4 linked regions of the Schizosaccharomyces pombe genome follow. The main gene of each other region encodes a partner of the protein of the gene in region 3 in a complex. Each region holds a gene or a part of one and is shown on either strand. Other genes may lie near its edges. The genes, in order: gos1, sft1, bet1 and sec20.

Evidence for each region.
Region 1: bet1 (region 3) and gos1 share a complex: the UniProt entries of both Schizosaccharomyces pombe proteins name them as parts of the SNARE complex.
Region 2: bet1 (region 3) and sft1 share a complex: the UniProt entries of both Schizosaccharomyces pombe proteins name them as parts of the SNARE complex.
Region 4: bet1 (region 3) and sec20 share a complex: the UniProt entries of both Schizosaccharomyces pombe proteins name them as parts of the SNARE complex.

What each region holds. Positions count from the first base shown.
Region 1 is NC_003424.3:776,731-785,894, forward strand, and holds gos1 (SNARE protein Gos1), read left to right. Parts: upstream 1-4,630; 5' UTR 4,631-4,756; coding exon 4,757-5,305; 3' UTR 5,306-5,411; coding exon of another isoform or gene 5,412-5,606; 3' UTR 5,607-5,707; coding exon of another isoform or gene 5,708-5,974; 3' UTR 5,975-6,072; coding exon of another isoform or gene 6,073-6,414; 3' UTR 6,415-6,689; downstream 6,690-9,164. Other genes in the region: SPOM_SPAC4G8.08 (mitochondrial iron ion transporter), read left to right, coding at 529-557, 608-1,001, 1,161-1,553; SPOM_SPAC4G8.09 (leucine--tRNA (Leu) ligase), read left to right, coding at 1,802-4,426; atp10 (F1-F0 ATPase assembly protein), read right to left, coding at 5,412-5,606, 5,708-5,974, 6,073-6,414; smp3 (alpha-1,2-mannosyltransferase), read right to left, coding at 7,945-8,902, 8,968-9,125. UniProt on the Schizosaccharomyces pombe protein: Nonessential SNARE involved in retrograde transport within the Golgi complex.
Region 2 is NC_003424.3:410,602-418,268, forward strand, and holds sft1 (SNARE protein Sft1), read right to left. Parts: upstream 4,239-7,667; 5' UTR 4,200-4,238; coding exon 4,083-4,199; intron 4,029-4,082; coding exon 3,870-4,028; 3' UTR 3,644-3,869; downstream 1-3,643. Other genes in the region: rod1 (arrestin/PY protein 1), read left to right, coding at 1,483-3,273; bun107 (WD repeat-containing protein), read left to right, coding at 4,805-5,084, 5,162-7,667. UniProt on the Schizosaccharomyces pombe protein: Vesicle SNARE required for retrograde transport within the Golgi complex.
Region 3 is NC_003424.3:1,049,197-1,057,473, reverse strand, and holds bet1 (SNARE protein Bet1), read right to left. Parts: upstream 5,806-8,277; 5' UTR 5,746-5,805; coding exon 5,735-5,745; exon of another isoform or gene 5,692-5,734; coding exon 5,553-5,691; exon of another isoform or gene 5,504-5,552; coding exon 5,300-5,503; 3' UTR 4,750-5,299; downstream 1-4,749. Other genes in the region: autophagy-associated lipase Atg15, read left to right, coding at 59-1,333; DNA-directed RNA polymerase subunit Rpb5, read right to left, coding at 1,832-2,306, 2,518-2,600, 2,665-2,739; mannosyltransferase complex subunit Alg1, read right to left, coding at 3,006-3,128, 3,220-3,754, 3,798-4,230, 4,307-4,490; serine/threonine protein kinase (CK1 family) Hhp2, read right to left, coding at 6,985-7,299, 7,386-8,109, 8,276-8,277. UniProt on the Schizosaccharomyces pombe protein: SNARE required for targeting and fusion of ER-derived transport vesicles with the Golgi complex.
Region 4 is NC_003424.3:4,101,215-4,109,456, forward strand, and holds sec20 (SNARE protein Sec20), read right to left. Parts: upstream 3,505-8,242; 5' UTR 3,409-3,504; coding exon 2,728-3,408; 3' UTR 2,519-2,727; downstream 1-2,518. Other genes in the region: SPOM_SPAC23A1.14C (cystathionine gamma-synthase-like protein), read right to left, coding at 545-1,741; RNA polymerase II CTD phosphatase Rtr1, read right to left, coding at 3,902-4,495; bbc1 (SH3 domain-containing protein), read left to right, coding at 5,613-8,242. UniProt on the Schizosaccharomyces pombe protein: SNARE required for targeting and fusion of Golgi-derived retrograde transport vesicles with the ER.

The sequences.
Region 1 (9,164 bases), 270 kb from region 3:
CAATCAGAAATTGTGTGAAATATAGAAGGTAAGCAATGTTAGGTTACAACGAAAAAATAAGTCATAACTCAATAATTGATGTTAATGGAGGTGATTAGGAGAGAAACGGGTTTCTTTCGTCTATAGAAATGACAACATTTCGCAGAATGCGTGCTAGCTTTTGAATGTAAACTGATTGATACAAGCATTTGAAATTCTACAGCACACCAATAAATTTATTGCTATATACAACGTTTATTCCTTGCGTTTCATCGTGATTTATTCAGTTTAGCATATGTCGATGGGTATTCAGTAGTATAAATATCACAATCCATAAAAGCTTACTTACTTATTTTTAAAGAATTAAAAATATTGATCTCATTTATTGATATAAAACGTATTATCCAACTGCACTGCGACCTCTAAACTTGATGGATCGCTTATAGGCTTCATGACTTGCAGTAACGCAACCACTTAATTTCACTGATATCCCCATCTTTTGTTTTCTAGGAAAGTCCAAGTTTTGAATGTTGCCATATAGGGAAGAAAATGGATGTACAAACTCTCATGGCTGCTAGGTACATTTAAATTAGAGTTCCTGCCAAAACATACTAACATTGATAAAAAGTGCAGGTGCTGTTGCAAGTCGGCTTCTGTGTCACCCAATTGATACAATCACTGTTCATAAGCAAACAATTGGAAAATTCTCTTTTAAGACAATGCCTTTAAAGGCTTATTACAGAGGGTTACCTATATCTTTGACTTTAATTACTCCGGCTACTTGTCTCTATCTTTCTACTTATGTTGAAGCAAAGCGACGATTTAAACCAAGCGTCGGCGAAGGTGCCATTTTATACTCTATATGCGGTATGACAGCTGAAGTAGTCAGCAGTTTTGTTTGGACTCCACTGGAAGTCATTAAGGCGCGAACTCAGATATCTCAAAAAGGAAGTGTTATAAATACAATATCCACGCTTGCTCGGTCAGAAGGTTTAAAGGGGTTTTATCGAGGCTATTGGATGGTATGTGAATCTTTTTTATTTATTTATTAAATTTTCTTTAAATGAGAATCTAAACAATCTAAAGCTTTACGGCCTTTGGGGGAAATTAAAAAACAAAAATAGACTTAATCAAATTTTTGATTAATCTTTTGTTAATTCTCTTTCTAACTTAAATTATAGGGAGTCGCAATTTATCTGCCTACCACCGTTAGTTGGTGGGTATGCTATGAAGAATCGAAAAAGTACTTACAAAAGCAATCCAATTGGGATATCTCAGTAATTGCTCCAATATGTTCAGCTTTAGGTACTGTTGTAGCTACTACTATCTCAACCCCTCTTGACATTGTTAAAACTCGATACCAAGTGGCTACTTCATCAGCTATGCGTAAAGCTGAATACGGCCTCCAAGCTGAAAAGGAACTGGGGATTTTGGAAATAGCCAAACTTCTGTTCTCAAAACATGGAGTTAAAGGCTTTACTCGTGGGCTTTTTACGCGAATGTGTTATATTATGCCATCAGGCATGATCTCTATGTCTGTATTTGAATCTTTCAAAAGTAAAGACATCGACTAAAAAATTCCTTTTCTATGTTTTTTTTTCATATGGCATGCCTTATTTTTGTTATACCGTGAAATAACCTTCGTCTCGTTTAAGTTTAGTTTCTTATTAGAACATCCATCGTAGCATTCGCTAAAAACACAACACCAACGTTGGATAAACATTTTGGTAAATGAATATAATTTAAAGTATTTATTGATTTAATGATACCTGTTTAAAATATTTAAGAGTTTAAAGACATTGTTTCCACTGCGTTTCATGAAATGTTGAAATCCGTCGGTACTAATGGTCGGAAAGTACCTAAAATAGCTTCGTTATGCAACTTTTTAAAATTTAATAAAAACATACACAGCAATCCAGATTTCTTGGCAATTGCTGAAAATTGGAAGTCATATTGGAAATCCCATTATCCGTTCGTCAAAAATGACAAAGGAAAGAAGAAGTATATACTAAGTATGTTCCCTTATCCAAGTGGTTTACTACATATCGGACATGTTAGGGTGTACACTATTTCCGATATCCTATCGAGATATTATCGGATGAAAGGATACAAAGTCATTCATCCAATGGGTTGGGATGCATTTGGTTTACCAGCTGAAAATGCTGCAATTGAGAACGGGATATCAGCTAGTTCTTGGACGTATGAGAACATAAAAAAAATGAAAGAACAAACTTACCATATGAATATTTATTTTGATTGGGACCGAGAGATTTCAACCTGTAATCCAGATTATTACAAATGGTCACAATATCTTTTCCTTCAAATGTTTCATAAGGGATTGGCGTACCAAGCAGAGGCCACTGTAAACTGGGATCCAGTTGATTGCACAGTCCTTGCCAACGAGCAAGTTGATTCACATGGGAGGTCCTGGAGGAGCGGTGCCATAGTAGAAAAGAAAAATCTTCGACAATGGTTTCTAAAAATTTCAGACTATTCAGATCAGCTGCTCGATGACCTTGAAACATTACCAAAATGGCCTGACAAAGTAAAGAAGATGCAGCGCAATTGGATTGGTCGAACTACGGGTTTTGAAATATCTTTTCCTTTGCTAAACGATAAAGAAACTCTTACAGTTTTCACTACTAAACCTGAAACAATAATAGATGTTAGTTTTATAGCTCTTTCAAAAAACCATAAACTTGTTTTACTAGAATCCCAAAAGGATCCTTCGTTGGCAGAACATCTTCGCAATGAATCCTTACTAGACAAAGGATATCAGCTCCCGTGCTTTGCAAAAAATCCAGTAACTGGCAAAGCTTTACCAATATTTTATGCTCCTTACGTTTTGGACTGTTATGGTACTGGCGCCGTTATGGGCGCACCTATTCACGACCGCCGAGATTTTGAGTTTGCTAAGCGTAATAACATAATATTTTCTAAAGAAAGTTGTATAGGTTCATATTTTACAAATGAGGGAAAAGAACTTTTGAATCATCATGATTCTTCGAATTTAATGGATATCAAGCAAAAAATGCTTCAGCAAAAGATTGTCAGTTACCTTGAAGAGAAGAAATTAGCCAAACGTGTTAAAAATTATAGACTCAAAGATTGGCTTATATCAAGACAAAGATTTTGGGGTACTCCTATACCAATGGTTCACTGCGAAACCTGTGGTGCTGTCCCAGTCCCTGAATCTGAACTTCCTGTAAAGTTGCCTGATCTTGATAAAATATATGAAAAAGGTACTTCGCCGTTATCAAATCTAGAAACATGGATGAAAACAACCTGTCCGAAATGTCATGGCCCAGCAACAAGAGAAACTGATACTATGGACACATTTGTAGACTCATCATGGTATTATTTTCGTTTTTTGGATTCTAAAAACTCGGAGCTTCCTGTAGGTTTAGCAAGTGCGTCCTCTTTGATGCCTGTTGATATTTATATTGGTGGCGTTGAGCATTCAATACTTCATCTTCTATATTCCAGGTTTTTTTCAAAATTCATGAAGGATATTGGGTTATGGAATGGTGATAAATATTTAAATGAACCATTTACTCAACTAATTACTCAGGGGATGGTTCATGGTCTTACTTATACAACGATGTCGGATGAACGAATACTTAATCCAAAAGAAGTCCAGAAAATTGGAGACGAATATTTTCTAATCAGTAATCCTAAAGAGAAAGTTCAACTTTCTTACCAGAAAATGAGCAAAAGCAAGCATAACGGTGTAGATCCGATACGTACTATTCAAAAATATGGCTCAGACATTATTAGAGCTTACATAATATTTTCAGCTCCAGTGGAAGGCGTACTCCTTTGGAATGAAAATGCAATAATGGGAACAAAACGGTGGTTAACCAAAATATGGAATTGTGTTCATCAGTTATTGGAACGTGAGAAAAAAATGTCTGATGCGATGAGACAAACGAAGTTAACTATTGTCGACGATCACAATAGCAGGAAACTCGAATCACAATATAATGAATTTATTTCACAATGTTCTGCTCATTATGAAAATGTATTTTCTCTCAATTTAGTAATTTCTGACGCCATGAAATTGACTAATAATATAGCAGATGCTTTAAAAAATAACAAAGTCAATATCGGAACAATTAAAGCATCTTTGGAAGTGCTTGTGAAATGTATTGCTCCAATAATACCTTGTTTTTCAAGTGAGTGTTGGTTGCTGCTAGGACATAATTCTTCCGTTTACTCTAACTGGCCCATTTCCAAAAATAAAAAGGAGAATATGGAGGAGCCCGTTACTATTCCTGTCCAAATTAATGGTAAGGTGAGATTTAAGATTGAAATGCCCAAACTCAATGATGAAAATGAAATACTAAATTTTGTGCTTGAGACGAATGATGGGAAACGTTGGCTCTCTAATAAAAAAGTTTTAAAATCTTTTGTGAAACAAAAAATCATCAGTTTAGTCACCGACTGAAAGTTGGTTGAGACACGAGCTTCATGTTTCAAAATAATTTTGATATTTACCATAACAATGCAATGTTGGTTGCGTAGTTAATTTAATGCTTAAAATTCATTTTGAATGAAAAATATCCTATCTTAATATCACAATGTTTTCTAGTAGCATAGCTTTTCTATCACTGGTATATTTAGGAATCTCTACGTAGTGGGATACTTCTCTAAACTACATACTAGTAAGAACGTCATCTGAAAGCCACATTAATCAACAGAAGAGAAACGTTTGTTTTAAAATCATAACTTAAGCTACTAATTTTTCTCTTATAAAAATTTGAAGATCTCTTTAGCCATGAAGTCTATGCTTTTGAGAGATTCGGTGAAAAAAGCGTCTCAGTTCCAAAGATCGTTGCACAGTGATCCTAACCAAGCTAAAATTCTGCTAGAGGAAAGAAGGAAGCTTCTTGAAGAAGCCAACTCTTCAGCTGACGAAAATGACTCGCATTCAATGGCTACTATCAAATCACATTTTGAAAGACTAAAACGAGATGAGCAACTTCTTAATGGCGTTTTGAAAAAATATGATGCGAAACAGGAAGTTCTATCTCCTGAAGAATTACGAGATGCACAAAACTTTTTAGAAATGCAAGAGGCAAACTCTTTAGACAATTCTATTAGAGGCACTAATGAGCTTCTTGAAAGAGCTTATGCTACGAGGGAAGACTTTGATTACCAAAATAGCGTCTTAGGAAATGTGACCAATCGCATAAACGGGGCGGCCATGTCAATCCCTTTTATTAATCAAATATTAAGGAAAACCTCGATCCGTCGAAGACGTGATTCTATCATTTTAGCTTTACTCATATCTGTCTTGATGCTTTTGTTCCTTTTTTTTCATTAAGTTGCATGTTTTATGAAACGTTTATGAAGGGCATTGATCCCGCCAAAGTTATGAATATGTCATAAAGGTTTAATTAAGATGAAATAATATAAAAGTCCTTTTACTTTTAACCAACGTTTTTATTTACCAAAAACTTAATCGCTGTCTTCAGGTTTTCAATTTCGACATTAGTTGGATCACCGGTTCCAAGCCAGCGAATTTTGCAGGAATCGTCAATTAAATACACATTTCCAACAAGTTTGTTGTTCCATCCTATTTCTGGGAAACTGAACTTATTGTCGTATGCTGTAATATATTCATTCTGCTAGTTAGCAAAAGGTTATAAATTTTGGAAGTAAATAAATCTATCTTATCAAGCGAACAAACTTGTGAGCAGCTTGGACAAATAATGCGTCTACTTACCCAGCACTTTTCTGGTATTGATCTTTTAACTTTTCCTATAAATATCTTCTGTAGCCAATATTTTATTAGATTGGATTGAACATTTGCATAACGAACTGGCAGATAATCAAATGGAGCTAGATGTTGAATCCAATTCCTACATTGGTTTTCTCCAAACGCGTTGCTAAATAATGCAAAGAAAAAGGGCGAGCCTTGCCAATCTTTATATAGCTCTTTGTACTGATTTCGTAATGACTTCCCATGAAAGTTGTACATCCATAAGGCGCTCTAAAACGTGTCAATATTTTTAAGCAATAAACTAATTTTTTTTCATTCTTATTTGAAATTTCCAGAAATGAATATTACTTTTAACCAATTGTTCATACCTTCTCCTTAAATAATCTTGGAGGACTGTAAAACAGCTTACCATTAAATCGACGAACTTCGTTGAAATCTTGAATAGTTGATCTCTTCATTTCATTCAGCAGCTCCTTCTGTCTTTGCTCAGGAGAAGATGTACTCGCGGGTTTGGTAAGTTTTTCCCATAATGTTGGCTTTTGGACTTCAGAAAGCATCGTCGGTTTTACCAGTAAACCTACTGGAATGAGAGCAGATGGGGCTTTTTCTTTTGTATCATTGAGACTTTTGGTGCTAAAAGAACGCAACTTGAACTGATGCTTAACAATCAACCTCGGAATGACTAAATTTTTTAAATAATTATATGCCATGTTTACCAATTATAGGTAGATTAAAGGGGAAATAATCTTTAATTTATTATGCGATTTAAGAAACGCAAGGATGAACTTAATTATTATTATAAACTTCAATAGATAGGTATAGCAGAAAGGAGCTGTTGTTACAGGTGGAAGTACTCTGACGTTAAAAATTCATATCTTAATTTTCATTTTGGTTTTTTAATTTGTTTTTGGACATTAGTATATATCTACGATAAAGGTTTTCTCCTTTTAATTTCATTGTAATATAATTCAAGACTAAAATTGGCTTTTCATTGGATTGCGAATCTTTCATTGAATACTATCTTTTCAACTTACATTGAACGTGCATGTAAGGATAGGAAATGGAATGCTGAGATAATGAACAATACAAACCTTTCTAATTAATTCAATGTTTAAAGCAAACTCATTTAGCGAAAAATTCTAGCTTATTAAAACAGCTGTCAACCAGGGCGTAGAGATTACAATATAAAGACCTTACTTACCCTTCTTAATGTACTACAATACAAAATCATAGTTAAAAGAGTAGCTTTTTACGTCCCTGCCGACTGTTTATGTAGATGCATGAAAAACTATGAGAATATAATTTAGTAATCGTTTATATAAGCTAATACGCATTAATATTATATTAATTCATAATGCTTAAAAATCAAAGCAATTTCAATTTCCAAGTGGGTTAGAAAGTACTAATGGGGGGTCCATATTCTCTTTAAGACATTACTCACTTGAATAGCAATTATGACTTCGTCTACTACCTCAAGTACTATGTGGGGGGGTTGACCACTTATGAAAGTGAACCTACTAAAGTAGTTAGTGATACAAAAAAATAACTAAGTGCGCAATAATTCTCCGTCAACAAATAAATCGTTGAACTAGTATTAGTATATTGGCGTATGTAAGCTAATATAGTCGTTGTTTGCGTAAAACGAATTCAAATGGCTCCCAATCTGTGTTAATACGTTATGTTATGTATGATATAAGCACATTGAACATATCGGGATGAGTCAGTACTATTTTATTATTAACAAAATTGGTTAGAATTGAATATGACAAGTTGAAGACTCAATCAGCTAAGTTTTGTCATAGATCGGATCGGAACAGGCGATTAACAGTGTTGTGCTGAAGAAAATAGACAACAATATGATCAATAGAATCAACATATAACAATTAATCATCATTCATCGAACGAATGCAAGCTTCGCGATTAAATAACCGCGAAAGATTTAGTGAACTAAATATTCTCTCAGCTTTTCATAAATAAATTAAAATTAAAACCCAAATATATTAGAAAAAAAATTAAACAAATGCCAATGAATTTAACAATTAGATCAGTTTACTTAATAAAAGTTAAGTATTGAACTTTCTGACCCTTAAAACAATAAAGAAGGATTAACAATAAGGATACGAAACATTTCAAGAAAACGGTAACTTCTAATCGCAATTGCTGCAGTATTAAAATGTAGCATGACGAGCGAATCTCAATCTTAAGAGTACACAACGAGGCAAAATGATTTTTTTATGTTGCTATCCCACACTTCTCAATACCGTTGGTAACTCATTAGTAATAGTGTTATTCTCACAAATCTCCTTAGCGGTGAAAATTCCAATTCCATGATTCATAATCAATTCTGCTAGGGGTAACTCATCAGTGTCATCTAAATCAACGTGATAAGGGATGTAATGCAGCATAGTCAAATTTTGAAGATAACTGCTTGTTTGTAGCATAGCAACAGGACACACTAATAAAGTGGATGCTTGAAACTCGGTTGTGTTTTCTTCAGGCAAATTGACGACTTTAACCTCTTCATAGTAAGTCTCCCAAAATTTTGATATCATTTGTTTTGTGGAGTAGTTATAAAGATGAGAGGTATTAATTTGGCTAAATTTTGGACGAGCAAGCATCCAAGTCGGAGCACTATAAATCTTCCAAAAATAAATAGTCGTGGGCATTTCCGGATTAAAATACAAATTACAATTTTCCATGGTTGTTACATTTCTCTGTTCGATAATATTTTTTACTTCCAAAACCGCAGGGATAACACCATTTTGATGCATTATGCCGAAGAAAACTGCCAAAACAACTGCATACATTACAAATAAAAATTTGATCCAATATGAACGAACTAGACATCCAGAGTTCACTATAAAAATAGAGGCTGCGGGTAGCAAAAACCTGGGCTCTTGGTGAGGAAACAGGGATAGTATGAAAACGGGGAGAAGCCATAACCAAGTTGCAGGTTTTCGAACGTCCCAAAGCTTTGGAACAAAAATCAGAGGACCACAAAGGAGTGGCATATTAGTGAAAAAATGTGTTAATCTTGAGTGCAATCCGTGCTGTGACAAATTTTCGATTTGAGAATTGTATTTTAAATTATTCCAAAATGTTATCACAAACACCCCATAAAACTTGTAGTCCTCGAGGATGCATGCTAAGACAGTTGCAAAAGAAACTGAAACAAAAATACATAAGTGCAAAAAGATGCTAATCCAGTTAGTGTTTATTCCATAATATATTTTTAATTCAATTTAAAAATCAAAATCACTTACTCTTTCGGATTGTTCACGTTCTTTTTAAAACATCGAACAGAAAAATAGATATAGGGGGCGATCACAAAAGCTAAAAAAGTGATTCTTGTGAAAAATCCTAATACACTAACAATTGCAAGCAAAAATGTATATAAATAACTAATTTTCTTGTTTAATGGCTGATTCTTGTTAGTTAAGAGTTGCCAGCTATTAACTTA
Region 2 (7,667 bases), 640 kb from region 3:
ACGTTAATTCAGAGATAGTGTATAATTGTAGCATAACACTGGATCAGATTATTGTAGCAATACGTTAAGTGGGGGGATTGGATTCAGCAGTTGCATTTGATTAGAGGTTTGTAATCTGGGTTTAGTCTTAATTTCTTGTAATTATTCGATGGATACGTAACGATATTTGATATTATAGAAACATCTAAAATAATATTTTTTTTTAATAGCTCTACAAGTTGTGCAACATTTATAACAGAAGCAGGAAACACACTAGCAATGTAAAAAATAATAACAATGAGACGTCAATGATATCCACATCTATAATTCGTAATTGTTCAGAGGCACACTTATAAATTAAAATGAAAATAAACCATTCCTCGATATATATCAGAGTCTTGCGAATTGATTCCAAAAACGGTAATGCATTGTGAATTAAAAGTTTTGCTATAATGATGGAAAGTTCAATGAGGCTATAGAAAGCGAGTCACACTACACGAGATTCAAATAATAATACCAAAAAGGTGCTATTGACTATTAAGCGTGTCTCAGGATTACTGTCCTTTACTAATCATAAAGCTTATTAAATATTTGGTTAACACTCAAAACTCAAACTTTTAATGCTGTATTATTCTAGCCACTCATATTTGCTATATTGTATTTGTACAATGTGGGATACTTAATTTCAATTAAACTGAAGATTAAGTTGTGCTAATGTTTATAGAGTAGAGGGGTTAGTTAAGAAAGGAGTTTGTTATATATCGATGGTGAATGAGAGTCGATTGAAGGTATCAATAAACAGCAAAAAACTGAAAAATTCAAACGCATAGCACTTATTTTTACTATGTGATGTTTAAGAAAAAATGTAATGAAAAGTTTAAAGTGGGGAAAGAAGGTTCTTACCAATATTCTGCACATCTGTCTCTAGTAAAACCCAATAACGTACCTTGTCCACTGAATCAAGCTTGCCCGGGTATTTCGTTGCATAGCTATGAATGAGGGATACGAAAACAGTCCCGCTTAATATATAAAAAACACGACTATTTTAAAAATTTTATTTACTTCGTACAAACTAGTGAAACATCTAAAATTGTTTAAAATTTACACAATAGTGTGTATAACGAAACTAGCTAAACTTTGTTTATGTAATGTGAGAAAGTATGTAATACTATATTACAGCAGGTTGCTTATAAAAACGTCACCACACAACAGTCCTTTAACCTTCGCTTTGTCTACATTATTGAAGTTATAAACCCCAAGAAAAAGTATTTTTGCATTTTTGTATACACAAATCAAATTTTAAGGGAAATTTTTTAACACGGTACTTTTCGTTTTTTTGTCTAATTGTTTCAGGGTAGTACATTCTCAAATAATCCAAAGCCGGGGTCTTTTGGGTTGTAATAGTTATTTACATAAAATTGTTGACTAAATATTTCAGAGAGAATTCATTATTCTTACTTTTGAATCCCTTTTCAAATATAAAATTGGTTCCTTGTGTTAGAGATGAATATTCTCTCAAGGAAAGAAAATGTCGCTTCCTACTTCGATATTCGTGTAGCTGCAGAGCATGATCTTATCGTAATTCAAGGCCTAGCAGACTCGGCAGAACCGACACCACTGTCAGGATCTGTAGTTCTGTGTCTCAATGAAGCCATCAGTGTCAAAGCAATATCTCTAAAACTAGTGGGAAAATGTCGCATCTCCTGGTCAGAACCTTCTCCGACTGTAAGAGGCGGCCAAAGACACAATAAGCAAGAATATGTTGTTTACGAGAAAAACTGGATCTTCGTTCCTTATACGGGTGCCAACCGTACTTTACGTGCTGGAAACTACGAGTATCCGTTTCACGTAATGCTTCCCGGTGATATTGCTGAATCTGTCGAAGGTCTTCAAAGTTGCTATGTTGTTTATCGTCTTAAAGCAAGCATCGATAGAACGGGTTTAGCTAGCAAAATGGTGAAAAAGAAACACATCCGTCTTATTCGAGCATTGCCTGCGGATGCCATTGAATATACTCAAACCATTAGCGTTGATAATACTTGGCCAAACAAAATTGAGTATACCATCAGCGTTCCAACAAAAGCCTATGCAATTGGGTCATATATTCCCATTCATTTTGTATTAGTTCCGTTGCTGAAGAGGCTAACTATTGGAAAAATCAGTATAACCTTGAAAGAATACATCACGTTGCATGTCGCTCATGGATATAACGGTTTACCGGCATCGAAAGATGAAGTCAGGACCGTTCGTTCTCTTCAAACCGAAGAATTGGAGGAGTTTTCCGATCACTATGAACTTACAAAGAACTTGGAACTACCAAGTTCTCTTGTGGAATGTCTTCAGGATTGTGATTTGGATGGAATTAAAATACGTCACAAATTAAAGTTTTCCGTTTCCCTAAGAAATCCTGATGGCCATATATCAGAATTAAGAGCTGCATTACCTGTAGTCTTGATGATACCTCCTCAATTATTTGGCGATCGTGCCGAAGTAGAGTCGTTACGCGAGAATTTTGAAAGTTTTAATCAGCCTTTACCTAGCTATCAAAACAGCATGTATGATCGTCTTTACGATGGTTTGAGCTATTCCAACCTTGATACACCTCTCCCTAGTGGCGCAACTACACCAAGGCGACGCGATTCTATGGAGCCCACCTATGCTTCTAATGAAGCTCATAGGCGACAACTCATTGCTGGTTTGACAGAGTTGGCTCTACAACAACAACCGCAAGGAAGGAGCCCCAACGAACATTCACCGTCAAATCATCCTGAAGATTTCCCGCCTTCTTTCAGTTTAGGCTCTAATCCATCCAGTGGAGCTGCCTCTGCTGTAATTACTAGAAACCCTTCAGAAACTAGTTTGGCAGATCTGAGCAGAGTCCCTTCTTATAAGGAAGCAACAAGATCAGCCGTTCCATTAGAATCACCCTTACAATCAACATTACCTAGTTATGAAGATGTTGCACGAATTGAGCACCTTTCACGTCCTCCATCACCTGGTATCGTTACTCCACCACAACGTACATCTCCTTCATTTTTTGTTTCTCCAACTGAAAGTACACGACAATCCTTGGATAGTCGTAGGTCATTCGAACACTCCACATCTTCTTCTTCGGGTATAAGCCCATCTCACAGTAGTGCTTCTTTAGCTCATCTTTCTCAAGCCTCCAATCCAAATGGATCGTCTTCTGCCCCGCATAGGCCCACATCAGCTCGTGTAGGAAGTCACCGAAACGCACTAGACGCTTTAAGACGGGCGCGTATGCTTCCATCTGGATTTTCAAGAAGAAATTGAAGTTTTGAGCACTATTTTTAAATTTTTGCGCAAACATCGGAAAAAGAGTATTCATTACCTGTACTTCCGTACATTTGAATGCTGTGTTCTTAAAAAAGCCTAAATCAATACAAACATCTCATGGTCTGCATGCACAAAGCTTGAACGTGAAGCTAAGGTGTTAAAATTTTTATTATTATTTATTTTTGTGCCCTTCCTTTTGATCTTTTTTTTTTTTTTTTTGCCGGTTGAAGGTGAATGAATACTTAGTTTGTGGCACAATGTCATGATTCTATTCAATTAGTACTGCGTCTCTTTGCTTAAAACTCTTTCCTAAAAGTGAGGAATATCAAGCTTAATATGGATATACAGTCATAATTAAATTTTTTATTATTTTTACTTTTATGGTGGACTTATTGAAATTTCGAGGAAGGAGTAGTATTTCGTTAAGAATATTTCATGTAATTCTGCGCTTATATTTTCAAATTTATCTTCAGAATATTCATCGATAAATTTATTGCCTATAAGAATTCAAAGCTTGTACATTTTATAATTTTGAAGCAGGAGGTTATGTCATTATATCCGTTCCTTTATGTAGCATTCGCTTTCATGTCGTGTTAAAAAAACCATTTGGATGCATAGTAGATTATTAGTATACTCCCTACGATTGCCAGCACCATTGTCATGATTCTTCGTCGTCCGGCACTTCGAACCACACGGAAGAAATTTTCGGTGGATTTTTTAACAGAATTTGAAAGTCCTGAAAAGCTTTCAGTCTATAATAATACAGGTTAGGTAAAAACTCAAATTTTTTTTTTTAAATTACATACAGCCCGATCAATTCGAGTATAGTCATTGGCACGGGAATAAATATCGTAGGTTACGTTTTTCAAAGAAGAAACCTGCCCAGACAGAGTTTCCAAACGCCGCTCATTTTGATCATTCATTATAGAAATAACTTTTACAAAAATGAATGTACATACGTTAGCATCTTTCTATATCACTTGGAGTACTACCAAAATTTAACGACATTTAGGACGTGGTGATAAATCCTTTAACGAATCTCCTAACTTGATTCTATTTTCGTCGAGCTCAAACATAATGTTATCTACAATTCTTAGCATCAGCCGCCTAATTATTGCTTTATCAAATGCCAATATCGATCGGACTACTTATTAGTAGGTAAATGGTTTGGAAGTTCATCGTTTCCATCCATTTTTAATGAGCAGTAGGATCCGTTCTTTAACATCTGAGTTATTTGAGGAATTGCTATTCATCGCTAAGTCAAAACATATAATATATTTGTATAGGTACTCGCTACCAAAATATTTGGATCCATTACTGTTTCCTGTTTCCAAGTAAAAGGGTTTATTTATCCGCTGCGTTTTAGACTCAGGACACACTATCTTTCTGCAATACTTTTGAACCTGAATTCATTCAATAAATTGAATTCGACATCATATAATATAAATTTTTATTTTTTACGTTTGAATTGGATTTTTTGTTTATAATTGCATTGTTTTAAGAGATTAATAATTCATTTATTGTTCTCATGAGTGTTCGGAAACGGTACAAGGTTACTTATGTTCTTGATTCCTGTAACGATCAACTAGGGCACCGTTTGGATGCTAATTGTCTAGTGCTAGGTCGGTACTTTTCAGAACAAGGGTCAGCACCAGTTACTAGAGCACTTTACAGTGGTGGCCGAGATGGACAGCTTTTCGGTTGGGACATCGGGTATGATTATGGTAAAGCTTCCCAGCCCTTAGCCAAAATCCAGGCTCATTCTGCTTGGGTAAATGATATAGCTTTAACACATGATTCCGAAGGAGGTAAGCCTTTGAAAAATTTAATTATCTCTGGAGAATAGCGGTAGCCTTATAGAAATTGACGTTCTAACATTTATTAGTGATATCTTGTTCTTCTGATTCAACGGTGAAACTCTGGAAGCCACATGTCTTGAATGCTTCTTGTTTATCAACAATTGGCGAGCATACCGACTACGTAAAGCGCGTAAGCATTCCCAAATATTCCAAGAGTCCGTTAGTCGCTTCGGGTGGGTTGGATAAAAGGATAATTGTATGGGACTACAACGTAGGTCAAGAAGTTATGCGATTTGAACAGTTACCTGACTGTTCTCTTGTTGTTGGTCCAAGATCTGGTGTTTACTCGCTGGCAGCGAATAACAACATAATTGCTAACGGCGGACTACAAAAAGACATTCAGTTATGGGATTGTGTTTCCAAGAAAAGGATTACAGATTTAGTCGGTCATACTGACAATGTTCGAGATATTCTAATTAGTGATGATGGCAGAACAATTCTCACAGCCTCTTCAGACGCTACAATAAAGCTTTGGTCTCTAAGGGCGCAAAAATGTTTATTCTCTTTCATAGCTCATTCAGACAGTGTATGGGCATTATATTCTGAGCACCCAGATTTAAAAGTATTTTATGCTGGTGATCGCTCAGGCTTGATTACTCGTACTGATATAAGAAACCAGCCTAACAACCAAAGCTGTACTGCAATATGCAAGCAGGATGCTCCTGTCTCTGACATTGTTGCTCGTCAATCTTTCATATGGAGTACTAGTCGTGATGGCTCCATTCTTCGTTGGAAGGATGAGCCCCTCTTTAATCAGGACGTGGGAGCAGCATTATCTAAGCATACCTCATCTCATCTTTCTGTATCATCGGACTGTCCCTCGAGACATTCTTCTGACATACGAAATCATAGCTGTCCAACATTATATCACGACGATGCTGAGGATATATATTATGATTTGCATCATACTGAGAGCTATTCTAACATCAATTTAACCAAAACCCCTGATTATGTTATTCATGGTGGTATTGGTTTGTTAAAATATCGAATGTTGGGTGATCGAAGGCATGTCTTAACTGAAGACGCTGTCGGCAATAAATGTTTGTGGGATATACTTGCTTGTAAGCAAGCCGGGGAATTTGATAAGTCAGAAGATTTTGAAAAGATTGTTCAAAGTTTGGATACTGTTCAAGCAATACCTAGGTGGGCTTCTGTTAATTGCCTTTTGGGGATTCTTGCTGTTACTCTTGATGAAAATCACTACATGGATGCCGAAATTTATGCTGATGAATGTCCTCTTCTGAAGGTTGATTCCCCTTCTGATAAAAGAATAAACTTAGGGGTGTGGATTTTAAAAAATTTATTTCGTGAATTTATTGATGCCGAGCTTCATCGTGATTTAAAATTTAGACAAAATTTAGATGTTGTAAGGTCTGAAGCTAAGAAGCAGATAGAAGCCCAGAGAGAAGAAGCAAGAAAGGGAAATGTGAATATGCCATCAGCTTTGTCTCCATTGAGGATTCGATCTCGTCCATCACCTTTATCTCTTCCTCCAGAACCTTTACTTTCTCCTACTATAGATTATTCCGCTACCCCATTCCCCCTCGAGCCTCCCCCCGAAAGTCCTGGTCCGTCTCTTCAAATTCCATCAAACAACCCCGTTTACACAAATTTAACAGATACAGATTCTATGATGGGTGCGCCAGATTACTTTTCGATCCCCGCCAGGCAAAATCGTAACAGAAAGCCACATACTGAGGTAGTTGGATCCCCTACTGTTGTGAGAACGAAAGAGATAATTCCCCCCAAAGTAACTCGTGAAGGTTCATTTATGGGCAGACTTAAAAAACTTGGAAGATCAAAGTCATCCAAATCATTACAAACCGATTTTATGAAAGCTTCTGTAGAGAGAGCTGCGTCAAGCCGCGTTTTCAGTACCGGGACTTCGGTAACTTCTCCGCAAGCATTGTCTAAAACTAATAATACTGTTAATAATGCTGCAAATACAGAAAATAACACACTAGCTAAAGATAAGCAACAAACTTCAGAGGCATCATCACCTGGTACCCCGCGAGAGCTGAAAACGACTGGTGAGTTGATTGAAGATCTTCATGAACAATATGTACATTTTAAGGATAAAGACACCGTTCTTAGTTTAATGAAACCACCAAACGATGATACGTTTCCCATGTTAAATCTTTCGAGTCAGATTACTGTTATCATCAGCGAAGAATCTCCTGAAGCCGGTAATTCTCGTGACATATATCGTTCTACTCTTGAGAACATGGCTGACGATATTGACTTACTTGAAAATATTATGCCCTTTTGGCTTGGAAGATTACTGTTATTAAACGAATTTCCTTCTAAAACTGCCCCTACTGTTAATTTTACTCTTCAGCCTTTTCCTGGAAGTGGTTTACCGCTTATTGTAAATGAAAACACTCGTTTAAGTGCTAGTGCTATGCTTCGTGCTCAGAAAATTATGGATTATAGCTATAGCAAGCTTAGCCAACAAAGAAAGGATGTATCATCCCTTCAATTTAGATGCAAAGATGTCGTCGTTACCCCCAAAATGACATTGGCAACTGTTAA
Region 3 (8,277 bases):
TTCGCATAACGTTTTTCGGTTGCTCTTTTAAACAAAAGGAAAGCAAACTATTCATGCAATGTCTCAATTGCTATTCTTGAGGCGCTTTTTCTTCCTTTTTTGTTTCATCATTAGGATTAGTTGTACAGGAGTATTTGAAAGTGTTATCAAATCTTCGGAAAATGTGCCTGATAAGGTTAATGTCAAATTACAGCATGTATTTCATTACGGACTCAATGAGGACAGTATATCATATTATCGACTAGATGTGGCCAAGAAAAGTGTTTACGCAGAGAGTGAATCAAAATTGCCGTTGAAAATGAAGAAAGGATATTCCGTTCACTTGAAGGATCAGTCTCGCGATGCGTTGACTGATTATAGATATAAGTCTATGAAAGGAATTTATTCTGAAGCGAATTCACCAGCTGATTTATGGGAACAGGAAGCAATCGTGATTCCTGATATTACTGATAAAGAAACGATTTACTCCCTTGGAAAGATGAGCTACAATGCTTACCAAAAAATTCCTTTCGACGGGGACTGGTTAGATTTAGGACCTGATTGGAATATAACTCCACCTGAAGGATTTGGTTGGGAGGAAGATGGTCTACGTGGACATGTTTTTTCCAATGATGACAATTCCACTATAATTATTGCGATGAAAGGTACGTCCATCTTCGGAATCGGACGCGGTACCTCGCAGAAGGATCGCGTTAATGACAATTTACTTTTTTCCTGTTGTTGCGCTCGTGTCAGCTGGGCTTGGTCTACGGTTTGTGGTTGCTATAAAAATACATACACCTGTAGTCAAACTTGCCTTGAGGATGAAGTGCAAGATGACTCAAGGTATTATTCTGCATCATTGGATATTTTTTATAGTGTTAAAGAATTATACCCTGATGCACAGATTTGGCTGACTGGACACTCATTAGGTGGCGCTACTGCCGCTTTAATGGGACTTTCTTTTGGAATTCCAACAGTCACTTTTGAAGCACCTGGTGATCGAATGGCTGCCCGACGTCTTCATCTTCCAATGCCTCCAGGATTACCGGACGAAGAAAGTTTAGTATGGCATTTTGGTCACAATGCTGATCCAATATATTTGGGCAAATGCACAGGTCCAACTTCATTATGCTGGGCCGGAGGTTATGCGATGGAATCAACTTGTCATACAGGACAGGAATGTTTATATGATGTTGTAAAGGACAAAGGGTGGCATCTTTCTATTACCCACCATCGTATGCAAACTGTTTTGAATGATGTTATAGATGCATACGAAAAATTACCAGATTGCTCACACACACCGAATTGTGTTGATTGTTACTTGTGGGAGTTTCCTGATGATGATAGTTGAAAGGAGTGGCTGTCCTTTGCTTCAACTTCTGATAATGTCCTTAAAACTTTAACGAACGCCAAACTTTTCAACCTTCACACTTTATTAGATTCGAGTATGCCTATTTTCTAGTATACCTATAATAAAACTTATTTTTAGCTTGCTTAAAATAAGTACCAGCAAGAAGAAGATGCTTTAGTCTTCGGTTTAAACAGTCGTTTGTGCTATGATAACTTAATGAAATATTGATACAAAGCAGTACTGACTATAAACTATCTACTTTTGGTAATAAAAAGTAAACGTGAATGCCAACCCTTGATGTTTTATTGAATAAATCACTAATAAAGTATTGTTCTAAAAACTATCTAATCCAAAAATTTAAGCTCATTGTAATAGCTATAGACATTGCTTTATTCGATTTGAATTTTAAATTATTATGTTCAAATTGAAATTTTTTAAGAAAAAGAAAGAGATGGTAGTTTTGAAGCGATATTTCTAGCCCACATGTACCAATTAAAATTATGCACAAATTCTGTAGCTATTATAACGGCCACTAGTTTCACTTCTTCTGACAATCTTCACAACTTCTCCCCTTTTTAAACCAAGATAACGAGCAACAGGATCAGCTAGTTGAATACGGGGTAATTGAGTTTCACGTAACTTGTAGCGGTCTAAAAGTTCTTTTTTCTCATCCGGTGAAAGAAGAATATGTTTAGGAACAAGCTCATGATGAGTAATGTTGACAATCAAATCGCTTTCTTGGAAAGTCTCAATGGTAAACTGGCCGGTGACAGTAGCAATGATTTTAGCGGCACTTGGGGTCATGGAATTGGCATAAATTAGAATACCAGTTTTATGATTATGATCACCTAAAGTATGAACAAAAGTTCTCATTTCTTTAATACCAACGGAGGGCTCTTTTGCAAATTCGATATAGATTGTGCCTTTATTTGAATCATTGGAAGGTTTTGCGTAAAAACTCAAAGTTGTACGACTAAACGCATTAGCAAAACAGTTTTTAAAAAAAAATTGATAAAGGAAGTTTAGAAGAAGCATGTTCATCAATTAGAAAGCAGATTAAGAGTAAACCGATTTATAAATACCGGCGTCTATGGACATATACGCAGATATCAACAGAATTTGCTTCTATAATCAATCGGATTGTTTAATCCATTATCACGATGGATTTAAATAAATGTACATACTCTAAATTACGACCCATGCCACAATGCATGGCCTTGAATTGATCCAACGTCAAATCTAATTCAGCTTGAGAAACGCCGTAACCCTAAGTTATAATAGTTGTTAATAATTCTAATATGTTTGAAGAAAAAAGATTATCAAATACATACCCTGTCATGGACTAATTGATGAGCTGTCTTCCAAGCACGAAACACCCTAACAATGTTTTTTTCTTCCGCAGACATTATGAAAAATTAATAAGAAACAAAAATAGAAAAACTGAGTTAAAAAATGAGAATTGATCTTCTAAAAGAGATGTTCCCAAAAAGAGGGAGTTACGGCAGAGCAGTGTGCAGAAGATAGCAAGAAAATTTTGGTGGTGAGTTCTAATAATTATTAAAGTATTCGTTAAGCATGTATAATGCGGTCAAATAGTGTAACAACGATTGGATTATTCTATTAAAAAAAAGGTAATTAGGAATTCAGGTTTGAGAATGTAATATCTAAATACTTAATTTGAACCTTGAACTATAGGAGGGATGACCTTGTTCCATTCATCATCCCAACGATATTCAGATTCCTTGAGAGCACCCAGTTTCAATGAATTTAATTCATTAGCATGAGTTAATAAATACTAAAACAGTTAGTTATCGTACGAAAAAGCCAATAAATTATGTAGGAATCGCTATTCAAGGTTTTTTTTGTAAAAAAATCTTTTTTCATACCTGCATTTTTTTCGATAGAGCTTTTGAATCGTTAACGATCAACCCGTTTTCGCCATCATGTACCAATTCAGAAATCGTTGGATAAGAAAGCGCAATAACAGGGACACCACAGCCAAACAAATCTACAACTTTCATAGGCAAGTCAAGTCCACTTGAACTAGTATGCAAGCATACACCAAGATCTGCGCAGGCCATAACCTGCGGATAATCTTCAATACTGAGCCAAGGCATGCAAAAACGAACTTTGTGTAATGGATGCTTCTTAATGTACTGAGAAAATTCTTCCTTCATCGGGCCTTTTCCAGTTATCAGCACCAAAAGCTTGGGCGTATCTAAAGTTTTGTCGTACTCATTAAGAGCCTCCCATAAAATGTAAATATCCTCGTCTGGTGTCCAAGAGGTAGAAGTAATTAAGAGCTTCGTAGAAGAAGGATTGTACTCACAAGGTATTTTTTTGATAGACATTTGCTTTTTCTGTTCATTTTTAATGGGAGTAAAGTGGTTGGGGGGTCTATCATAACATACATAGCAAGGACTTGAAAATGTTAGAGTTGAGCAAAAAGCAAATTTATACTTACTTCATTCCCCAAGTTTGTAAAACATCTTTCATCCGTTTAGAGACAGTCAAATGAGCATATGCTCCTCGGGCCATGTATTTCTCATAAATTTTAAGTAATTTAACAAAGGTATGCTGCTTCCCTAATTTCAACGCAAGTATTGAATATCCAAAGTTATGCCAATCTATGATAAATTTTGTACCACGTAGTATATGAAGACATTGAGCAATGAAGAAAACAGGGATGCAAGGAGGATTTTGAATGAACAGGAATGAAGCAGGTTTTCGAACAAAAAGAGCCCAGTTCAGTGCAAGAAATTGATGTAAAACCTTCAATGGTCCCAAAAACAAAAACTGAAGGCGGTTCTTAGGTTGAAGATACGCAGGAAGTGAAGGAATGGGATAAAAACGAATGTTTTCATGACTTTCGAAAAGTCCTACAGATGACCCGGGGTCTACGACAGTGTTAGTGACAACAAATACACCTAATGTGGTATAGATTAAAATATTCAAATATTTTAGATAACTTACGCTGATAGCCTAACAAATCAACCTTCCATCCAAGTTTAGCGAAGCTAACGGCATGATATTGCATTCTAGGGCTTCTTGCAATATCTCCTAGGACGAGAACAATAATTCTTTTCTTATCCGTCCTCTTTTTTAAATTAAACCATATCACCAAAGATAAAAATAAAACTATCTTCAATACTAGCATTTTGTACACAAACTCACGGTTACTGATCGAATTTCGAAACTTCCGCTTAAGAAAACTAGTTATTAAATACTGTTAGACATATAAAAAGCGAATATCTTCTTAAAACAACTTTCTATAGGTAGGTGTACAGCGCTGATGGTTTACGTAAATATTATTGTGCCCATAATACACTATTAAACAGCAACCTACCCAATATGTCGAAACTCGAAATAACATGCATTTAAAATACAAAGGAAAAGGAATAGAAGCATGATTGTACTCTTAAAGAAAAAAAAAAAATTTTATTTCAAGTATTGAAGTAAAAGAACACTAGACGCAGAAATAATGTAATAAGCAAATAAATTTAAGTAGTAAGATTCGTATCACATACTTAAACATTCCATACTTCAAGCTTGGGAATAGAAAATGCAAAAGACATGACCTGCATGCCGATAAACTTGAATAAAACTCAAATGTAATAGTTGCGTCAATTTACAAAAATGGTAAGACGACGAGTGAAGGGCTAGTATCATGAATAACAGATAGAAACTTATAATAACAGGATGTAATAAGTTAAAAACAAAGTCGTTAGGAAAACAAAAATTGAGGATTTGCGTTCCTATCGTGACAAACCACTTGTGTGGAAACACCAAAGGTGGATGAATGTTTTTTTTCTATCGATAATAAGTTTAAAATAATCAGAATGAAAATGTTAGAAGAAAAGAGAATGAAGAAACTTCAAGTATACAATTTTAACAGATTATACACGCCATAAAATGAATCATAAAAATGCTAACTCTAAAAAAGAGTAAAGGTAGTAAGCAAAATGCCTAAAATCTTACCAAAACGAGGATAAGCGCAACGAGGCAAAAGAAGGCGAGCCACATCCAAATTGAAATTCCTCCATTCTTCGAAACATTCTTTAATCGAGTCATTGTCCCGCTCAAAAGTGACTTGGTCGAGTCAAATGAGTCGTTCATTGACTCCATCAACTTAGTAGAAGACGTTATCTCAGTCCCAATATTCATAGTAAGCTATTAAAATTAGTTAGCATGTTTTTCCTGATGATGGCAAAAATCTTACCTCTTTCAAAGACTTGACTTTTCCAGTTAACTTTGAAATCCGTTCATCATTTTCATTTTCCAAGGAGTCTAAATGCTGAGGAGATTGAGACTCATACAAGGGCAACATATCGCCATTGCGTTCTTTTCTTCTACCGAATCTAATGATTAGTTAGACATTGATTGATCAGATTTAGTACATACCTTGATCCCATTCTGAAGCTTTTTTTAAAATCTTTCCCTTTACCGAATATGAAAAGTATTTGGTGTAGCGCAACTTCCAAATCCTAAGATCTCTTTGTTATGTATTGGTTTTGTGCGCAAAGTCAGCTCATCAAATAACATGCGACGCAACTCAGGAGTTGCGTGTAGAGGTAACACATTGTTGTACTAAGTGACAAATCTCATTTTGCTCTGTTTTTACATTAATCTAAACAATTTTTTTTTTACCGCAGACGAAACAGAGATGATAGTTATGGGTTTAGTAAAAATAAGTATAGATCCCTTCTTGAGCCTGTAGAATATTGAATTTGAGCATCAATTTTGAATGATTTTTCTTTGTGGTGCTGATCCATAATGTGTTACTGGGGCAACTGTAATGTAAACAAATCAACGTGCTTTGTTTACATTTGTAGAAGTGAAATACCGGTGGTTAAAATACCACAGAAAGCAATAGATATGATAATATGGCAAATCGATGGATATTTTTCTTTGCTACAGCCGAAATTAAATAGTATGTAAAACTTGATGATCCAGCGGTCAACTCCAACAGAGCTAATATTTTTTACGCTACTTGCCCATAATACAGTGTGAAAAATAGCGATCTATTTAATCGATGAAATTTATCATTTATTAATGAATTATTTCTTATGCAATTGATATTATATCTTTTATTGCAAAGGTAGGCAATAAAGACTGGTTTAGAGCCACGCAAATGATAGTGTAAAAAAAGAAACATGCTCCTTGTGTATATTACTTCTAGCAATGGAGGTACAAACTTTTCAGTTTTGAATAAAAACGGAATGTAAGAACCAATGGGGAACGAAAACAATAAAATAAAATTCTGGGAAGAAGAAATTTAGAAATGAATAGCACGACTGACTCAATTCTTTGGCAAGAACTTGACCGGAACGAGCTGAATATAAACAAACAGCACGATTTAAATTTTGTCCTCTAATTATGTCTTTTCAGTAAAGCATGTATGAGGTTTACACAATATGTCTATTTAAAAAGAAGGCATTAAAACTCAACTTCTAGGCAAAATGGAATAGCTCAAAACAATAGCTAAACCTCAAAGTGTATTAGTGTAGCAATCCGGCCATCCATAGACAAAAAAGAAAGCCAGGAATTATTAAAGATATTTGTGGAACTTTAAAACGTCAACAGATGGTTTGGAATTTAAGACTAAAAGACGTAGTGTAAGAGAGGAATTGATGAAAAGTAAAGTCAAAAAATCAAGGAGCTGGTTCTTCATCTAAAACACGCCTCAGTTGAGCACTGTATTGAGGTTGCAACGAAGATGGAATGTATTCATAATCTTTGTTGGGAACAGGAGAACGAAAGGAGAGAGGAAGAGGTGAGGGAGAAGCACATTGAACAATATTAGTGGAGAAAGATTGTGGAGTCTTTGGATTCCGCTCAGCAGGTAAGGGAATGGATGAATAATTAGGAGTAATGGGATTAACCGGTTGAGTTTGTGACACCATAGGAGATGTAACCTGTGGAGGTGCTGTAGCAGAAGCGGCGGCAGCAGCAGCAGCTCGCTTTTGCTAATAATAGTTAGTCAATCGAATTTTCAATCATTTGTTAAGGTTAAACTAACGTATCACCTTATCATTTTCTTTTCAAAACTTACGTATTTTAATATCATCCAGTCAAAAACATAGTCATACTGGTATCCTTTACGAATAAGTAAATCACGAAACAGCTTTCTCAAATAAGCATAGTTTGGCTTCTCGGTAAACGAAAGCTGACGAGTGTAACACATGTAAGTGATAAACTCTTCGGGAAGACCTTTGCAAAGGACTTCCAAAGGAGTGCCAATCTTGGTATCACGTATCCGTTGATACTTTTGCTCCTTTGTATCAGCTTGTAAGCCTTGCCAGGGCAAACTGCCGCGACAAAAATAAAGTAAAACATAACCTAACGATTCGAGGTCATCACGGCGAGATTGTTCAATACCAATATGGGTGTTAATACTAGCATATCGAGCCGTTCCCGTAAGATTCTTATTATCTCGATATGGAATATGAACATGAGTTTTAAAATCCCTGTATTTTTTCGCCAATCCGAAGTCAATCATCGTAACAACATTGCTGTGCTTCTTCATTAAAAAATTATCAGGCTTAATGTCTCGATGTAAGAATGACTTGGAGTGAACATATTCAATGCGACTGATGAGTTGATCAGCAAGTAAAAGAACCGTTTTAAGAGTAAACTTTCTTCCACAATAGCAGAATAAATCTTCCAGAGAAGGGCCTAATAAATCCATGACCATAGCATTATAACTATTGGTTACACCGAACCAGCGAATTGTGGGTATGCCAATATTTCCTTTAAGAATATTATACACACGAAACCTAAATGTTAGAAAGAAAAAAGAAAAATAACCAAATGGAGTAACTTTTGCTTTTCCTTTTTGGTTGTAAAACATCGAGCTACGGTTGATAGATATAAAGAAGAAATTGGAGTTCCGAAAGAAATCCAACTTATACTTAAGTAAAAAAATATTAAAGCACTACTTACTC
Region 4 (8,242 bases), 3.1 Mb from region 3:
TCAAGTACCTCTGTCGCAGACACCTTTCTCAATGCCTGAGAACCAGGTATAGGCAAATCATCTTCCAAATCTAGTAATGCTATTGAGTCCAGGTTGATACGATTTTATTATTAATTTCTTTAAATCGTTTTTTTTAGAAAAATTCTTTAACAGAAAAGAGAAAAAGTACCTTCACTTAGTTTTTATACGTGAGTTCTTTTTTGGTTATAGTTTGAATCATGAAGGGTTGAAAAGTCCATCCTGGACAATTGAGGGAATACTTAGTTATGAACAAGTAAAGGCTTTGATGGGTTTTGTTAATGCCAAGCATGTTCGAAGGTTAAAGAATGAAAATGATCGGGTTGATGACCTAGAACATGACATCTCACCGATTCTATCGTACCCTTCGCTTTACTGTTGCAATAGCGATCAAGGTGAATTTTTACGTGAAACACAACAATACAAAAAATTGCAAAGAAAGATAGCAAGAATTAAAAATGTTCTCAAAAGGAACGAATTACAATATTCATTAGTACATTAGAAAACAAGCAAATAACACAATGATTTAACTTAAAGATGCAAAGACACGATTCAAATCGGCAATCAAGTCAGCAGCGTCTTCAATACCAATGGACAAGCGAACAAGTCTAGGATCAATCTTGGAATCCGTCATTCTTCGCCATTCAATCAAACTTTCCACACTACCCAACGAAGTAGCGTGATGGAAATATTTCAACTCGCAGCACAAATGCTTAGCAACTGTGTCAGATTTAAGTAGAACAGAAAAGCAAGATGCATGACCGCCAGTCAAATTTTTAGCGACAAATTCCTTGGTCTGCAAGGAGTTATGGTAAACCTCCAAAATCAGGCTACTATCAATTCCTAGGCTAGTAGCAAATTGCTCATCGGTAGCCAACTTGTTCAAATGTTGGGCAACCAAAAATCCGTTTTCACTGTGTTTTGCGATGCGAAGAGGAAAGGTACGAAGAGAGCGCAAGAGTAAGAATGCTTGCTGAGGATGTAAAATTGTGCCAAGATAAGCACGATCTGCTTTCAAATCAAGGATCTTGGATCTATCTTTCGAGGCTGTGACTCCAGCCAAAACATCGCTGTGGCCGGCTAGATATTTAGTCGCCGAGTGAACTACATAATCAGCACCTAAAACAAGTGCATCCTGGATAGGGGGTGGTGCAAAAGTAGAATCCACAACAAGTATGGCACCCTTCTTTTTTGCCAGTTCCTTGTAAAAAGGAATGTCAAAGGCAATACCTAAAGGATTCAAAGGAGTTTCCAACCATATAACATCACCTTCACCGATGGCATCGCATTTGCCATCAATAAATGAGGTTTCTAAACCGGTTAGACGATTGATGCGTGCAATAATTTGGATTGTGCCTGAATAACCACCGAAACCGGGTTTATGAACGGCGATGTGTTTGGGATTTAAATACGACAACAGTCCGTAAATAGCAGCCAAACCAGATGAGTAAACAACAGAAGGTGCACCAAGAACACTGCTCAACGAAGCTTCAGCTCGATCAACATTGTTGCCGCTGATACGGGCATAGTATGGAAAGTCTTCCTCCGCTAGTTTGGTGAAAGGCTGAAGAGTGTCAGGAGTACCGGGATAAGTATAAGTAGTAGAAATATGGATGGGAGGAGCCACATCATTTTCTAATGCATAAGCATCATCGGCATGCAGTACATTAGTACTTAATGTGGACTTGATGTCAGAGAGATCGAACGAAGGAGTGTGAGTCATGCTAAACTAAAGAAAAAAAAACAGAGATGAAATGCAGAAAGGTCACAACAAATGAATTTCGAGAAAACTAGTGTTTACACGTTTACGGAATTAATAATGTTTATATCTAATTGAATGCTCCTACACTAGTAATCACCAATCGACCAAAGAAATAAGTACGAGATCAAACGACAGATACCTAGTTATGATAATTCTTTTAAAGACTTATATCTCCGTTAACTAACGTAAAGAGTTTGGTTAAAGACAAGTTGTTGTGAGACATCGCGGGGCATGTGCCTTAATTTATATCGTTATGCTTACGTGCTTGTAAACACTATATTACGCATTTGAAGTAGAAAGCACACAAACAAATAGAACCAGGACACTGAATAATTAGAACGTTTGGTTAATGAATTTTTACATAAGCAGTTATTAGTTTTAAGTTTATAGGTTTAATGGAGTTTGCTATCCGATCTCAGATTCTAGGCGTTCGTACCGGACCCTAGAAAATATGCGACAGACTTAACAAGATGCGTTTCCCAATTAACAAGCGCTCTAGTTTTTATTAGGAATTCAAAGAATACTGCTCTTTTTGTACTGTGGTCAAACAAATGGTTTTGACAATCAAAGAGGCATATACAATAAGAATGATTTGAAATGCAGCTGCATGCCGACTGTCGCATATTTCGTGAGCAAGAACTCATTTTGTTTACGGAATGGCGTTTCCCATTGAGTTACAAATACTATAGCATTACTATCATCAGCAAACTTCTACGCCATTCAACGTTTTTATTTAAAGAGAACAACACGTAAATAAAAACCAATCGTATAAGATAAACATTAAAACATAAGAACTACTTTACAAAGACTTTTTCAAAATAAAATTGAGAAAAAGGGCGAAAAAATAATTTCTCGTATAGATACTTCGAGCTCGATGGGAACGAGCCTCAAAAAGCCTTGCTTTTAATCTCGCCTTTCTTTTTAATAAACAATGCATTTTCAAAATCTCACCGAAGAAACCAAAGAAACATAGAAAGAATAGGCCAGACAATTCGCTTGAAGAGAAGATAGACAACCACAAATATGAAGAACCCAAATCCCGAGACGACTAAAAAGTAATCACTTCGATCACTTAATTTGAGCGATTTGATTATCCGTTTACTTGTATATAAAACGTCCTCTACACCAAAATATTTCTCTTGTAGAGTTTCTAACAAGTTGGTACTCGAAGACAACTCCATTGCATTTTCGGCACTCATATCCACTGCCTGTACCATTTGTGCGTGAATATCACGCATAGCCGCCGTGACCTGACTGGCGCTTGTAAGATAAATATCATCAGATTGCCACGAACCAGAGTTATCCATTGAACGCTTTTGAAGAGAACCATCACTTGGTGAGGTAATTTCCTCTTCATCTACAATCTTACCTATTTCTTGTGCGATAGGCAACCATGGTTCACCACTAGCAATCTTATTCCGATATCTTCTGTTCAACCGAATGTATTCTTGTACAGCCTTTTCATATCGTAGAACTGAGTCTAGCTGAATGGATGAGTATTCAAGCTCTACCCTTGCAGTTTCCCATATTTTTCTAAACTCTCGAAAATGCCTTTTAATAACTTCAACGCTTTCTGACTGTTGTAATTCAACAACTTTTTCTTCTAGTGCATTCAGAACGTCGGCCATCGAATGCTATGTTCTCTGCTTTATTGAACAAGTTAAAGGAGAAATAGTATTATGAGATGCAAGAGGAAAGAACGATAAAGGTAAATGATGATGAGTGGGAAACGAATGATGGATGCACTAACAATATAGCACAGCTGAAGGTGAATATAAGACTATACATCGAAAGGTTCGGTATATAGAATAAGGAAAAGAAATCAAATGCGGAATTATAAATAACGAGAAATAAAGATGCTAAGAGAGAGAAAGAGACAATAAAGATAGAAGGCAATAAGGTGAAATAAATTAGAAAGTGTAAATGGTAAAGGGAATATTGTATCGATCTTTAATAAAAAGTCGAAAACCACAGAAATGTTACTATGCACGCAACTGTAGAATGAAGCAACCTTTCATTCTAGTTCAAACGACGCTAGACACAAGTCGGTGTCTTTTTTGTTCAAAAATATTATACATATTCTGGGGTGAAAAGAAAAAATTTGATAAACTTCCATTTGCTTTATGATTGTTCATTAGCCAAAGGATGTTCAACGATTTCACCAACTTTTGCCTTATAACCCACAGGCAACGCTTGCAGGAGTAAGCGTACATCTTCAATTTTTTTGTTTTCCAACTCTTTACGAAATGCTTCATCTTGACGAGGATCGAGATGTTGTTTCATAGCTTCGCGAGCATCTTCACGTATCCATAATGGTTCGTCGCTCAACTCAACCATATATTGACAACTTTTTAGAAAGCAATCCTTCGAGCAATAATAGTTGAGTCCACCGTAGACCTTCATTCCTGAATCTTCTAATTTATACCTAGTTTGCTGCTTAGGTTCATAAGGACAAACGGGATAACCGCACAGATTGACGAGTTTACGCTCCTTCACCACTTGATCGTAATCACTTTTTCGAAGGTATTTACGAGCTTCCTCTAAAGTTTCTAGGGAAACCGGATCAACCAGCTTTTCAATCCATTCGAGGGCAAAAAAATCATACTGAAGTCGACTGCGTGCTTCATCTATAAGACTCTTCGACCACGTGATCAATTGCTTTTCTTGAGTGCTTTGAGCATTTTTCGGCTTTTTGAGAATTGATTTTTTGTTCATATCTGAATTGGATATATTGGAGTCAGCTGGAAAACAGAAGGTCTTAAAAATCGCTATTAGGCAGATATGAGTCAGTCAAGCATTGGAAGGAGGAATGAGCATCGTAAAAATACTTTAGCGCCGTGCAATTTTTGTTAAAGAGTTCTTGAGTTACGCAATTCATTTACAGCGAACTAAGACAGTGCGTTGGCCTTGGTACTAAAAATTTTGATAGAAATTACCCTCTCAGTTGAGTGTGGACAAAGGAAAAAAAATAAAGAAAAGCATGCGTTGCACCAATCATGTAAAGAAAGTTTTGTAGGTCTCTTTAAGAAAATCATTTTACCGTTAAAAATAATAATGATAAATTTACATCCACCCTATTCATATCTTCCACTAGTAAATAACTGGTCCTTAATCTTAATGATTCATATCCATATCCATACCATACCCCACACCCACACAGTAATCGTAAATATAGCAAACCAACGATGCTGTGGCTTCGTTTTAGGATTGCTAGTGTATCCTTATGTAAAATAGGAAACCAGATCCAATTGCGTAAATATTATTATAACGTTAAATAACAAAAACCAATCAACATTGATAAGCAAAATAATACCCAATAATCTTACAGTGCATTACGCTACCTTTGGCTAGTCGAACGAATCACTGTCAACAAGATGTTACGATTGGAAGGGAATTCCCCAGATCCTTTCCCCACAATGTTCATTCATTGAAAATCGTCTCACATGTAGTCAGTCGCTTCTTCACGTGCGATATTATCATTTGGGTGTTTATTGCTGTTAAGATTGACCAAACTTCTTTGTCTGCACAAATCGCGTGCCCTTTAGGAACCAAAATGACAGTGTACTGGCTTAGATATCCTAATAGAAGAGATTAACGATGACGTTCAGCTTCGCTATCATTTGTATATATTTTTAGTGGTAAAATAAATCGGCGGAGCCTTCATCTTTGGTATCTTGTTTTCTCTTTTTTTGGCTTTTTGTATATCTGTGTTTTAGGAAAAAAGAATCAGTGTATTGTATATTGAATGGTACCATTCTTTTTATACTGGTTCATTGTTTATCTGATCTCTCTTTGTACTTAAAAAAAGTATTAGCGGATCGCAGGCTCCACGATGAGCTCGTTTCCCACAAGAGTGGTTGCACTCTATCCTTATAGAAGCAGCTTCTCCGATGACTTGGAATTTGATCCAGGCCAAGTTATCGACGTCGTCAGTAATCTGGACGGCGACTGGTATACCGGAACATATGTGGACTCGGACGGTAACAGGAAAATTGGCTCCTTTCCAAAGGACTTTACCGAGCCAGCAGAGGATGCTGTGTTTGTAGAACGTGCTAGCGAAATGGCTCTTCATCAACCTACGCCAACTAGTGCTGTTCATTCTCGCAACTCTTCCTTAGGTTATGCTCCTTCTATTACACGTAGCATCAAGTCGATTTCCAACAATACAGAGCATCTTGGTGCCGATACAGAATCATATCTTTCAGCTAATGACTTTATTGACAGTACAAGTGAAGCACTTACGAAGATAGTTGATGTGGATACATTGAGTGCGCCATTCGGTAACGACAGCAACTCGCGTCCACATTCTTTAAAAAATGTGGAAAAATTGCATACATTCTCAGCTCCATATACCATATCTGAAGAGACGCCATCTTGCTCCACTGAGAACGACTCGCTACCACTTACCGCTACTCACACTATTACTGGTGGTGAGGATGCTGCTACCGGTGCTGCTGTAACCAACACCACCACTACCCACATTACTACTTCCACCAACACGTCTACCGTCATCCCCTCTAACCCAAATTCAGTTTTTCTTGTCGATTGTACTCATTCACAGTGCCCAACTGATTTACCAAACATCGCAACTACCCAACACTCTTTAAGGTATCTTGATAACGCATCTGCATCCGCAATAACCGTTTTGGAACGCACTCATCCCGCAGCTTCTTCCACCATGGCTACTGAGTCCTCCCATCAATCTCCGTCTGCGGACTCACAGGCAGAAGAATTATCAAAGAGCCAGCGAGTTGCAAAGGATGACGATCCTTTTGTTGTTTCCAATACTGCGAATTCCGATGAGCCAGCTTCAAGCTCAAAGCCCGCTAAACCCCTTACTGATTTGAATCGAGCCTTTTCTCAGCGCCTTAACTTGGATCCTCAAAAGCCCGGTAAATCACAGGGCGAAATCAGTGAGCAGGAGGAAGATGAATATGACGATGCTGAGTCAGATGAGATGCACAGTCCCTATAGCACTCACGAACCCGAATCTGAACCTGAAGACCAGGATGAACCATCGGAAAAGGATGATGAGAATAAAGATGTAGAGGAAGAACAAGAACAAGAGCAGGAGGAAGAACAAATTGATCCCGAAGAAGCTAAACGAATTGCCCTACGCGAACGAATGGCAAAAATGAGTGGAGGTATTGGTATGCATGTTTTTGGATTGCCTGGTCTAGCTGCACCTATTGGACGGAAAAACACTTTGAGGAGAACTCCTGCCAAATCCTCCGAGGAAGCAAAGAGCACCACTAATGACTCTTCTCCACCAAAAGACTCTTCTTCCACTTCTACTCAACCTACTGAACAATCGAATGCTCAGCAGGCTCCGTCACCGAAGGAGGAGGAGCGTCCACTTCCTTCCGAACCTTCTCAAAACCAACCAGCAGAATACCGTGATACTCCTGATACCCCCCGGAATATAATGCCTTTACCAGGCCTTATGTCTGCCGACCAACCAATAAAGGTCACTGAGCCTTCCAACGATGCAGATAAAGCTATTGTTGCTGAGGGTCCCAATAATGAGGAAGAGACTAAGGGACCAGTAATCCCAGAAACTCAGGAAACTTCCGAACAGCAAGTTCATAAAACTCCTTCTCCGGAGAAGCAAAAAGTGCTTTCTCCTCCTCCAATTATTACTAACTTTGATAAGGAAACACTTGCCTCTAATGAAGCACACGAAGCGGTACCCCAAAAGCCTTCTGCTCCACAAGTCACTCGTCTCATGGCTCCACAAGATAGCTCTTCAGTGGTAACTCCTTCCCCAACTTCTTTGCTGGATCCTGCTCGTGCTGTTCGTAAAGTAATTGATGGAATTGATCCCCCGAAAGAAGCTGGTGCCGGTGCTACAGCTGATGTAGAATCGGCTGCTAACTCACCAATTACGCCTCCTCGCACCTGGCATTCGCCCGATTTTACCTCCAAGTCGTTTGAACCCATAGAGCGCAAACTTCCCAGTCGCATTTCTGAGGTCACTGAGGACAGTATTGACGAGGATAAGCAGAATGAAGTTGACCCTTCCACCAGTGCGCGTGCTCTTCCTCCGCCTGGCTTACGGTTTGGTAAAGTCGACACTTTAGCCAGTCTTGCACATGATGATTTAGATGATTTACCAGCAGTTCCACGTATATTTAGCCCACCTCCTTTGCCAAAGACGCCCTCTGGCGAATTTGGAGATAATGAATTTATGTTCCCAAAAAAGTCAAATCGTGTTCGTGGTCACCAGTCCAGACCTTCAACTGGTTCCCAACTTCGAAATGTTGTTCCTGTTTCTATTGTAACTTCTGGTGGTCGCCCCGCTTTACCCGACGAAATGGCCTCGCCTAGCTCTTCTATCGGTCATCCTTTACCATCTCCTCCTCCAGCGGATTTTAATAGTTTAAATGTGGATTTTTACGAACCTCATAGCTATCTTGAATCTCCTGCTCCCGAACCTCAACCTTCTTATGAGGAAGAAAGTTT